Cricetulus griseus: one gene and its partner. The protein of the gene in region 1 interacts with the protein of each later gene in a pairwise test. Links are inferred from orthologs where the notes say so. Each region holds a gene or a part of one and is shown in the gene's direction. Other genes may lie near its edges.

What was found. The genes of interacting proteins can lie anywhere in the genome.
Region 2: the proteins of Rbfox2 (region 1) and Hnrnpf interact in binary tests that used the Homo sapiens proteins (3 or more experiments, as listed by UniProt). The link is inferred for Cricetulus griseus from reciprocal best matches to the Homo sapiens genes RBFOX2 and HNRNPF.

What each region holds. Positions count from the first base shown.
Region 1 is NC_048595.1:374,580,620-374,585,545, reverse strand, and holds the start of Rbfox2 (RNA binding protein fox-1 homolog 2), read left to right. Parts: upstream 1-1,887; 5' UTR 1,888-2,342; coding exon 2,343-2,516; intron 2,517-4,926. UniProt on the Homo sapiens protein: RNA-binding protein that regulates alternative splicing events by binding to 5'-UGCAUGU-3' elements. Prevents binding of U2AF2 to the 3'-splice site.
Region 2 is NC_048601.1:27,002,529-27,007,535, reverse strand, and holds the end of Hnrnpf (heterogeneous nuclear ribonucleoprotein F), read left to right. Parts: intron 1-2,054; 5' UTR 2,055-2,103; coding exon 2,104-3,351; 3' UTR 3,352-3,968; downstream 3,969-5,007.

The sequences.
Region 1 (4,926 bases):
AGTCTCTGTGACAAAGTATCTGAGAAAACAATGTAAAGGAGGAAGGATTTGTTTTGTCTCATTTTAGGTACTGGTCACTCTGTGGCTCCTGGGTCTGAATGAGGGTGGTGAGGCATAAATGACACCACAGCAAGGATTCTGTGGTGGAACTAACTTACCTCCAGGTAGACTGGAGAAGGTTGGAGACAAACAGAGGAAGAGGCTGGGGATTAGAGACAGGCTTTCAGATCATGGTTCCAGCAACCCACTTCCTCCAATCTGTCCTCACCTTCCAGTTTTTACCATCCTTTAATACCTCCCAATTATGAATCAATCAATGCATTAATTCACTGTGTAGGTCATTAGGCCCTAGTAAGTAGGTTCTCATGATCCAATACTTGCCACAAATGAGCCTTTGGAGGACACTTGTAACTCAAATCTTAACACGATCAAAGCTCTTAATGCTGTTAACTCATTTGATCTTCATAACAATTCCTTTAAAAATACAATTGTTAGGCTAATTTTAGGTGTAGAGGCTGAGGGACAAGAGTCACTAATTGGCTTCCTTTTATAAGGTGTCAAGACCTTCTAAGGTATCAATGTTGCAGCCTAAAAACATACAATGTAATCAGTAGGAAAACCCAGCTTCAAGGCAAGTTGTATAGTCTTTTCCAATTAGCCTGCACATTGGGCCTCATTAAGCTGGTCTGACTCTGACACAGATCTTCACCACTCTGTCCATTTTTAGGTGTTTAATTCAAGTTCAAAGGCCAAGTCAGAGACATGCTGCAAGTGACCTCAGAAATCATCTAACCCAGGGTTTCTCAATCTCTGAATTATTGACATTCTGGTTTGGACAACTCTCTCTTGTGGGGACTGTCCTATGCACAGGAGAGTTTTGAACAACATTCCCAGCCTCTATTCACTGGATGCCAGCAGCAGCCTCTATTTGTGAAAAGTGAAATTTATCAAATGACAAATATGGAAATGGGAGGTGTTGGAAAGGTACCAAGTGAACCACTGACTCAAAGGATTATTTTTACAGATACTGCAGTAAGGATCCAAAAAGAAAAACTAACTTGTTTAAAGTAGCAAGCGAGGGAAAGGTTAGAAGCTAGGCTATTGTGCAACATTCCCTCACGATGTACATGTCACAGTATGGGACCCAGGGAGGCAGATGCAGCTTCTATTTACAGCCAGGCAGGAAAAAAACTACTGGACAAACCTAACGGCACGAAGCTGATAAACAGTGAGGTAGCGGCTACTCAAGCAGCAAAGAGTAAAAACAAGAGAATGTGATCTGGACCGAGCACGTTTCAGCTCCAAGACTTGAAAAAATCCAGGTTCTTCCATTGGACTGAAAACGGGTCCCGATTGCATTGTGTAAACCGTAAAGCTCTTATAAACATCGAGCATTATTAAGATCATCAGGAATGCGATCATTCTATTCATAGAAAAGCATATATGAAAGTCTTCATTCCTGGACTTCTCCGTTCTTGGGCAGGAGAGGAAGCAGGCAAAGAGACCCTCCTCTCGCCGAGCGCCCGTCTGCTCCCCAAATCGCAGGCAGCCAGACGGGAGAGAACAGGTCACCCACTTCGCACAACTAATACCTCTAGCCTGAGTCGCTGCCCCGTACCCGGGTCCTTCCAGTTCCGCGCTCCGGCCGCCGCCCTAAAAGAGGCGGACCCTTCCCGATCCTTGCCTCCCAGAGCATCCCGGAGATTCCCGAGCTTTTCCGATCCCTTCATGGCCTCCCGCGGGCTGCCCGCGCGGAGGCGGCGGCGATTGCCGAGGGGCGTAGCCACGCCCCCTCACCACAGCCTCCTCTCGCGCGGGCGGCCCGAATCCCACACATCCAGGTCCCTCCCTCTCTCCCTCCTTTCTCTCTCCCCGCCTTCCCGGTGCTGCCACAGTGGCGGGACGGAGGATCCCGACCAGTGAGCTGGCTGCGGCTTCGCGCTCCTCCTCCTCCCAAATAAACAGCCCTCCCCACGCAGGGAGCCCGGGCCGCCCCCTTCCTCGCGCAGCCGGCGAGTGGTGAAAGAGCGCGGGACTGAAGGACCAAGGGACGGAGGGAGCCGCGCACGCGCTTGCGAGCGAGCGAGAGAGAGAGCGAGCGAGCGAGCGAGCGAGCGAGCGGCCGGCGCGAAGCCAAGCCGGAGCCGACCCGGTGCCGAAGCCGAAGCCTGAGTCGGAGCGGTAGCGAAGCCGAAGCGGGACTCCGGGCCGGCGCGCACGCACGCACGCACGCGGGGGGCCGGCGCGCGCGCCCGCCTGTCGCGACTGTCGGCTCCAAGGCCCAGGGGGAGGTGGCCTGTCGCGGGTCGCCCGGCTCCCGGAGGCGAAGGGGGCGCGGGCGGATGGCGGAAGGCGGCCAGCAGCAGCCGCCTCAGCTCGGGCCCGGTGCCGCTGCTCGGGGCATGAAGCGGGAGTCGGAGCTGGAGCTGCCGGTGCCCGGAGCGGGGGCAGACGGACCCGAGCCCGGCCTGAGCAAGCGGCCGCGCACCGAGGAGGCGGCCGACGGCGGGATGCAGGTGACCGCGCGGGACGGGCGCCCGGTGACGGCGGGCCGCGGCGGGCTCGGGCCTCGGGGCGCCGGGTGGGCCTGGCTGGAGAGTGGGCTTGGGGCCCGGTGCAGGGGCTGTGCTCCTAAGGGGGCCCCGCAGGCAGCGCGAGGGAGTGGGATTTTCCTGTTGGAGTTGGGGGATTGAACAGGATCGGGATGCAGTCTGTTTCTTAAACTCGTCCCCAGTTCCTTGAGAAGTTGGGCATCCTGGATCTGTTTGTCCAGAGGAGAGCTGTTGGGCCGAGTCGAGAACGAGGGAAGCTAGTGGGAAAGCTCCCGAGAAGAATGGGGAGCCTTTGGCTTTCCCTGGGCACACTGGGATGGGAAAAGGGGAGCGGCATGTGTGGACAGACTGAAAAGCCAGCCAACTCCTGGAAAGAGCCGAAAGGGGATGTGGCTTAGCTTGCGGGTTCAATCAGTTACACAGGGAGTCCTGAGAAGTCCGCGGAGTTTGGTAGTGTGGAGGCACCGTGGTGTTCAGTCTCAGTTTTGTGCAACGTGCTAATAAGTCTGGAGACAGACACTGGGCATGCCCTTCCAGTGCTTTACCCGTTGCATTCTACATTCGTAGGGCGAGTTCCTTAGTGTCCTGGAGTAGAAAAGAAAATCTATAGGGTTGTTGGGTCACTGGTTTCTGAGTTGTGCCCTCAAGGGTAAGCTGACTGATGAGGGGGTGGCAAAGATATTGATGCTGTGGGTTACTACTTAGTTTGAGGAAGGGCATGAATCTTTTATAGGCTTTAGGATTTGGTCTCTGTTTAGAAAATATTGGTTGTGAAATGGAGAGGCTCACTCAGCAGCAATGGGATGCTGTTTAATTCTTTTAGAACCATAGAATGTTAGAGATGGAAGGGACCACTAGGGCTTCTCAATCTAATACACTTAGAAGAGTTACTCGGAATAGCTGATGTGCACTTTCAGTGAAGTGTCGGTACTTTGCATCCTTTTGTGTGTGTGGTGGGAAAGGGTGTGCTCAAATTCCAGCATATTTTAACAACCTCATTTTTATAGATAGGGAATTAAAAGTTCAGAGAAGACTAGGGACTTGACTAAACCCAACCCGATAGCTGGTTTCATTCCTATTCCTGTGCTCTCTCCATTACACCACTCGTGGAAATCTCTGCAGCGCTGAAGACTTCCTGTGCTCTGCCTGACTTCCTGTGGCAGGGAAGGAGCTGTACTTAAAGCCTGGCATGTTTGCTGTGAGCCTCTTGTCTCCTTTGCAGAACCCACACTGTAACCTCAGTTGGTTTAATTAAAAAGGACTCCCTGGGTGTTTATTTTTGAATTCTTTTGTTTGCTGGCTTTTATTTCCCCTAGAAGTAGTCTATCGGGCAGAGTGATTGTGAGGTCAATCTCAGAGGCATAGGAAGAATGGCAAGACAAAGTGAGGTGGGTTAGCACTGGATGATAAAGAGGAGCCACAGGATAGAGATGCCGGTGGGCGTTTTCACTTGCTGTGTGCACACATCTGAGGACTCGTGTAGTCACTTTTTTTCTTCTGTTAGACTTAGTTAATAGTTCTTTTTGCTTTCCCATTCTTTCGCTTATGGCCTGTTATTTGCTGACTGCTTTCACAATGGCTAAGGATAGTGATACTTGGAAATGAAGTAGAGCATAGAGACTTTGGGGATGTTCAGAGGAAGGAGTGAATTAGGTCCTTTGGGTGCAATTGGATAACTTAGAATTATCCCTTAGAGAATTATTTTACTCTGTATACTTACAGATATTCTTTACTTTTCCCATTGTACATTTTTATGATTGTAGGTTTTGTTTTTGTTTTTGAGACAGGGGTGTATTTGTAGCCTAGGTTGGTCTTGAACCCATTGCGGTAGTTGAGGATGACCTTGAACTTCTGGATTCCTGACCTTCCTGATTCTGCCTTCCTGGTAGATTTCTAAGATTACAGGCATGCACCACCATGCCCGGCTCATTATTGTAGTTCTCTTAAACCATGTCACACAAGACTTAACATTGTTATTGACTTAGCCCCCCCTCTGTTTTTAACTAGCTCTATTATCCTGGGGAAAACTCATGTTTTGGGACCTCTTCTTATTTGGAAAAGTGTTTGTATAAAATGATTTCTAGGTTGCCTTCTTTAAAAACATAAGCCAAGTAAGTTCCCTTTCCTAACTGTATATGTGACCTGGGCAGGGAGACAAATGAATGAAAACTTAAAAAAACCCTGTAGGTGTGTAATACTTAACTAATGTTTATCAAGAAGCTGTGATACTGTTAGGCACTGTTTGTTTTGTTTTGTTTTTGAGGCAGGATCTCTCAGTCTAGTTCTGGCTGTCTTGGAGCTTGCTATATACACCAGGCTAGTTTTGAATTCATAGATCTTCCTTCCTTTCCTCCAGAGTGATGGTGTTTAGGCA
Region 2 (5,007 bases), on another chromosome or scaffold:
AGTAGGGTGAAGGAACAACACATTAAAAAAAAAGTGATCAGGTGTCCCTGATGACAGGACTTACATATGTCCTGGCTTTGAAAAGGGTATTAGGGTTACTCCAACATACGCATGTACCCAGATTCTTAGTGAACAAGAAAAGTGTCGGAACTGTATCATAGCAACACTACAATAAAGTTAAATTGTGAGGCATAGGGTGTGGTAATTAGAAGGTGCCTGCAACTTTAATCCAACTTTTGCAAATATATGTTTATATAATTATGCATATGAGGGATATACAGGCTATTCCCCACTCTCCCTTACAGTTTGCCCTATCTTTATGCCATAGGCAAGGTAACTTTGTCTATATCAATTTCCCACTGTTAAGTAGTAGTGCCTTTAGTACCATTGTTCAGACGGGGTGACATTCTTGTCATCTCCAGTTGGTGTAGACGCAGGTAAGTAGAATTTTTGTCAGTATTTTAAATTTAATGATTTAAAAGGTCAAAAAGGTATTTCCTTAAAATTTTTGTTAGTTTTTTTAATATAAGTTGTTTCTGTAGTCTAGGTGAGTATAAATAAGTAGGTAGCCTGTGCTGACCATGAATTAGTTCTTACTTGTATTAACTTTATTCTTATTTTATGTCTTCACATGTTGGTTATAGGTGTGTACTACCTTGCTTTGTCTGACTTTATTTTTATGTATTTAATCTAAAAAAAAATTGGGGGTTCAAGGCAGGGTTTCTCTGGCTTTGGAGGCTGTCCTGGAAATAGGTCTTGTAGACCATGCTGGCCTGGAACTCAGATCCATCTGCCTCTCAAGTGCTGGGATTAAAGGCTTATGCCACCTCTGTCCAGCTTTTTTAATGTTTTGAGACAAGGTATGGCTATGTAGTAGCCCTGGCTGGCCTTGGTTTTGCACTGTAGAGATCCCAATTGCCTCCTTTTCCAGGTGCTAGGATTAAAGTTGTGTGCCATCTCGTTGGGCCTGGCTCTTTTATTTACATCTTTTAATACTATATCGTGTCTAGGTGAGTATGCAAGTAGAGGTCAGGAGGAAGAGTCAAGGCTTTCCACTGACTTTTGGCCTCTTAGGGATCAAAACTCCACGTCATTTCAGGTTTGGTGGCAAGAAATTTATACACTTTCAGCTTACTATCCTCTAGTTTTATTTTTGAGACAGTCTCATGTCAGTATGTAACTTGAAGGTGACTGGAACTACTTACTGATCCTTTGATTACTACTTGCCAAATACATTTCTCCATGCTCCAAAACAATTATTTTACAGCTGGGTGGTGGTGGCGGCGGCATAAACCTCTATTTCCAGGATTTGGGAGGCAGAGACAGGTTCTGAGACTGGTCTAGAGTCTAGAGTGCCGGAATAGCCAGAACCACACGGAGAAACCCTGTCAAAACTCCTTTTACATTGGGGTAGGGTGTTAGCCTTTTGCAGTGATGGGCCTTTGCTGTTGATGATGTCATTTATACTAGACAAGGCCTTACAGAACTATGACCCACTCTGGTCTTTGGCTCTTTTGCTTTACCTCTGTCTTTTTGATAGCACATAAGAGGAATACCCTTGTTTTGGGGGCATGCGGATATTTTTATTTTCTGTTTTTAAGGTTTTTTTTTTTTGAGACGGGGTTTCTCTGTTTCTTTGGAGCCTATCCTGGAACTAGCTCTTGTAGACCAGGCTGGTCTCCAACTCACGAAGATTCACAAGCCACCTGCCTCTGCCTCCCGAGTGCTGGAATTAAAGGAGTTTATAGTTTAAAGATGGGGAATTACGCCTTAGCCCAAGCTAGCCTAGAACGCAGAATCCTGGCCCACCTTTCTTTTTGGATGGGAGTCACAGTCATATAAACCTGACCTGGAACTCTGAGAAAATTAGCTGTTTCTCCCTCCAAAACTGATTAAATGTGTATACTTCCATGGCTGGTAACTAGCTATTTCTGTTATTTTCACTCATCCTTACTTCCATCTGTGAAATGGAGAAAATCATGTCTGATGAATATTATTAATATGCATATTAAATGAATGTTGTATAAAGGTTTTATTTTGTTTTTTTCTTTCAGCTACCAAAAATTGCCCAAGCTTGTGTGACATCAGCTCTGTCAAGTGTCCATGATGCTGGGCCCTGAGGGAGGTGAAGGCTATGTGGTCAAACTTCGTGGCCTACCCTGGTCCTGCTCAATTGAGGACGTACAAAACTTCCTCTCCGACTGCACAATTCATGATGGGGTCGCAGGTGTTCATTTCATTTATACTAGAGAAGGCAGGCAGAGTGGTGAGGCTTTTGTTGAACTTGAGTCAGAAGATGATGTAAAATTGGCTCTGAAAAAAGACAGGGAAAGCATGGGACACCGGTATATTGAGGTGTTCAAGTCACACAGAACCGAGATGGATTGGGTGTTGAAGCACAGTGGTCCAAACAGCGCCGACAGCGCCAATGATGGCTTTGTGAGGCTTCGGGGACTCCCATTTGGATGCACAAAGGAAGAAATTGTTCAGTTCTTCTCAGGGTTGGAAATTGTGCCAAACGGGATCACATTACCTGTGGACCCGGAGGGCAAGATTACAGGGGAGGCGTTCGTTCAGTTTGCCTCACAAGAGCTAGCCGAGAAAGCTCTAGGGAAGCACAAGGAGAGAATAGGGCACAGGTATATTGAAGTGTTCAAGAGCAGTCAGGAGGAAGTTAGGTCATACTCAGACCCACCTCTGAAGTTCATGTCTGTGCAGAGGCCTGGGCCTTATGACCGGCCTGGCACAGCACGGAGATACATTGGCATTGTCAAACAGGCAGGCTTGGATAGGATGAGGTCTGGTGCCTATAGTGCAGGCTATGGGGGCTATGAAGAATACAGTGGCCTCAGTGATGGCTATGGCTTCACCACTGACCTGTTTGGGAGAGACCTCAGCTACTGTCTCTCAGGAATGTATGACCACAGATATGGAGACAGCGAGTTCACAGTGCAGAGCACCACCGGCCACTGCGTGCACATGAGAGGGCTGCCCTACAAAGCAACGGAGAACGACATTTACAACTTCTTCTCTCCACTCAACCCCGTGAGAGTTCATATTGAGATTGGTCCTGATGGAAGAGTGACGGGAGAAGCTGATGTTGAGTTTGCCACCCATGAAGAAGCAGTGGCAGCCATGTCGAAGGACAGGGCCAACATGCAGCACAGATACATAGAACTCTTCCTGAATTCAACAACAGGGGCTAGCAACGGGGCTTATAGCAGCCAGGTGATGCAGGGCATGGGAGTGTCAGCTGCCCAGGCGACTTACAGTGGCCTGGAGAGCCAGTCAGTGAGTGGCTGTTACGGGGCCGGCTACAGCGGTCAGAACAGCATGGGTGGATATGATTAGTATAGTAGGAGCATTTGAGTTATTTCAATCAAAAATTTCACAGGCAGCCAATAAGCAGTCAAGAGCAGTTTAAACTCTAGAGGAAGCTGGGGGACCCACTTTGCACCATGAGTTTGTGAAAATCTGGATTAAAAAATTACCTCTTCAGTGTTTCTCATGCAAACTTTTCTTCTAGCATGTAATATTGAGTAAACTAAAACTATTTTCTTCCGCTTTTCTCAATTAACATTTTTGGTAGTATACTTAAGAGTGATGTTATCTGAGTTAAGTAGTTTAAGTATGTTGAGCGGATCTTTAAGCACACCACAGTGAACACACTGGGGACATGTACTTTTCTGGAGAACTCAAAAGGTGCTAGATCCCTGATGCAAAGAGAAGCATTTCTCATGTTCATTCTAGTTTATATTTTCATTTAAATCTTTAGGTTAAGTTTAAGCTTTTTAAAAGTTAGTTTTGAGAATTGAGACACAATACTAATACTGTAGGAATTGGTGAGGCCTTGACTTAAAGCTTTCTTTGTACTGTGATTTCCTTTTGGGTGTATTTTGCTAAGTGAAACTTGTTAAATTTTTTGTTAACTAAATTTTTTTCTTAAAATAAAGACTTTTTCACAATGACTGGCACAGCTTATCTACTCAGCGAAAGGCAGCAAACTGGGTGGTTGAGAAGGATCTGTAAACCCTTATTAACTTTTAGAAGGGATTTGAAAGTAGTCATGTTAGCTTCGAGCGGTGTCTCAGGCCTGTAATCCTAACACTTGAATGGCCGAAGCAGGCGGGTTGCCATGAGTTTGAGGCCATCTTGGTCTACATTGTTTAGGCTGGCAGATTCAAATAGTTGGGCACCGTCTTTTAAAATGAAAAGTGCATTGTAGAGACAGTGACTAAACAGTCCAGTATACACGAGAAGCACATAGTTGCTGCCACCTGTGATTATATACATTATATGCTATTGAAAAAATCCTAGCTGGGCACCGGTAGTGCATGCCTTTATTAATCCCAGCACTCAGGAGGCAGAGACAGGTGGAGTTCGAAACCAGCCTGGTCCACAAGAACTAGTTCCGGGACAGCCTCCAAAGCCACAGAGAAACCCTGTCTCAAAAACCAAAAAAGCCATAAACCTGCTTGTGAGTTCCGCATGCATGTCTGGTATCTGAAGTGACTAGAGAGGGTGTTGGATCCCCAGAATTGGAGTGCCTTGTAGTTACTAGGGCTCATACCTGAGCTTTCTGTAACAGTGGTAAGGGTTCTTGTAAGTTGAGCCATCATAGTTTGGGGGCGGGGGCATAAAGCATTTGCTGGAGTACCAACATTCAGTCTGGGGGTGATTTGCCAATTAGTGGTTAAGGCTACTGTTTTTAGGGTGACAAGCAAGTACAGCTATTGTCTACAACAAATGAGCCAAAAAGGAGCAGACACAGGAATCCAAATCCTTGGCAGCCAGCCCTCTTTGGGTGTTGAGAATATTTCTGCCACTGAATGGTGTGTCCTGTTTCAGAGGTCATAGTCATGTTCTGTTTCTAGAAAAGAACCAGTTTTCCAATTTATCAGTCATAGCGTGAAGGAAACCCAGCGGCACTAGACAACCCAAATCCCAAGGATATTGTAGTCTTTTGTATGACTAGGGGTCCCACAGTTCCCTGGCCCCTGTTGTCCT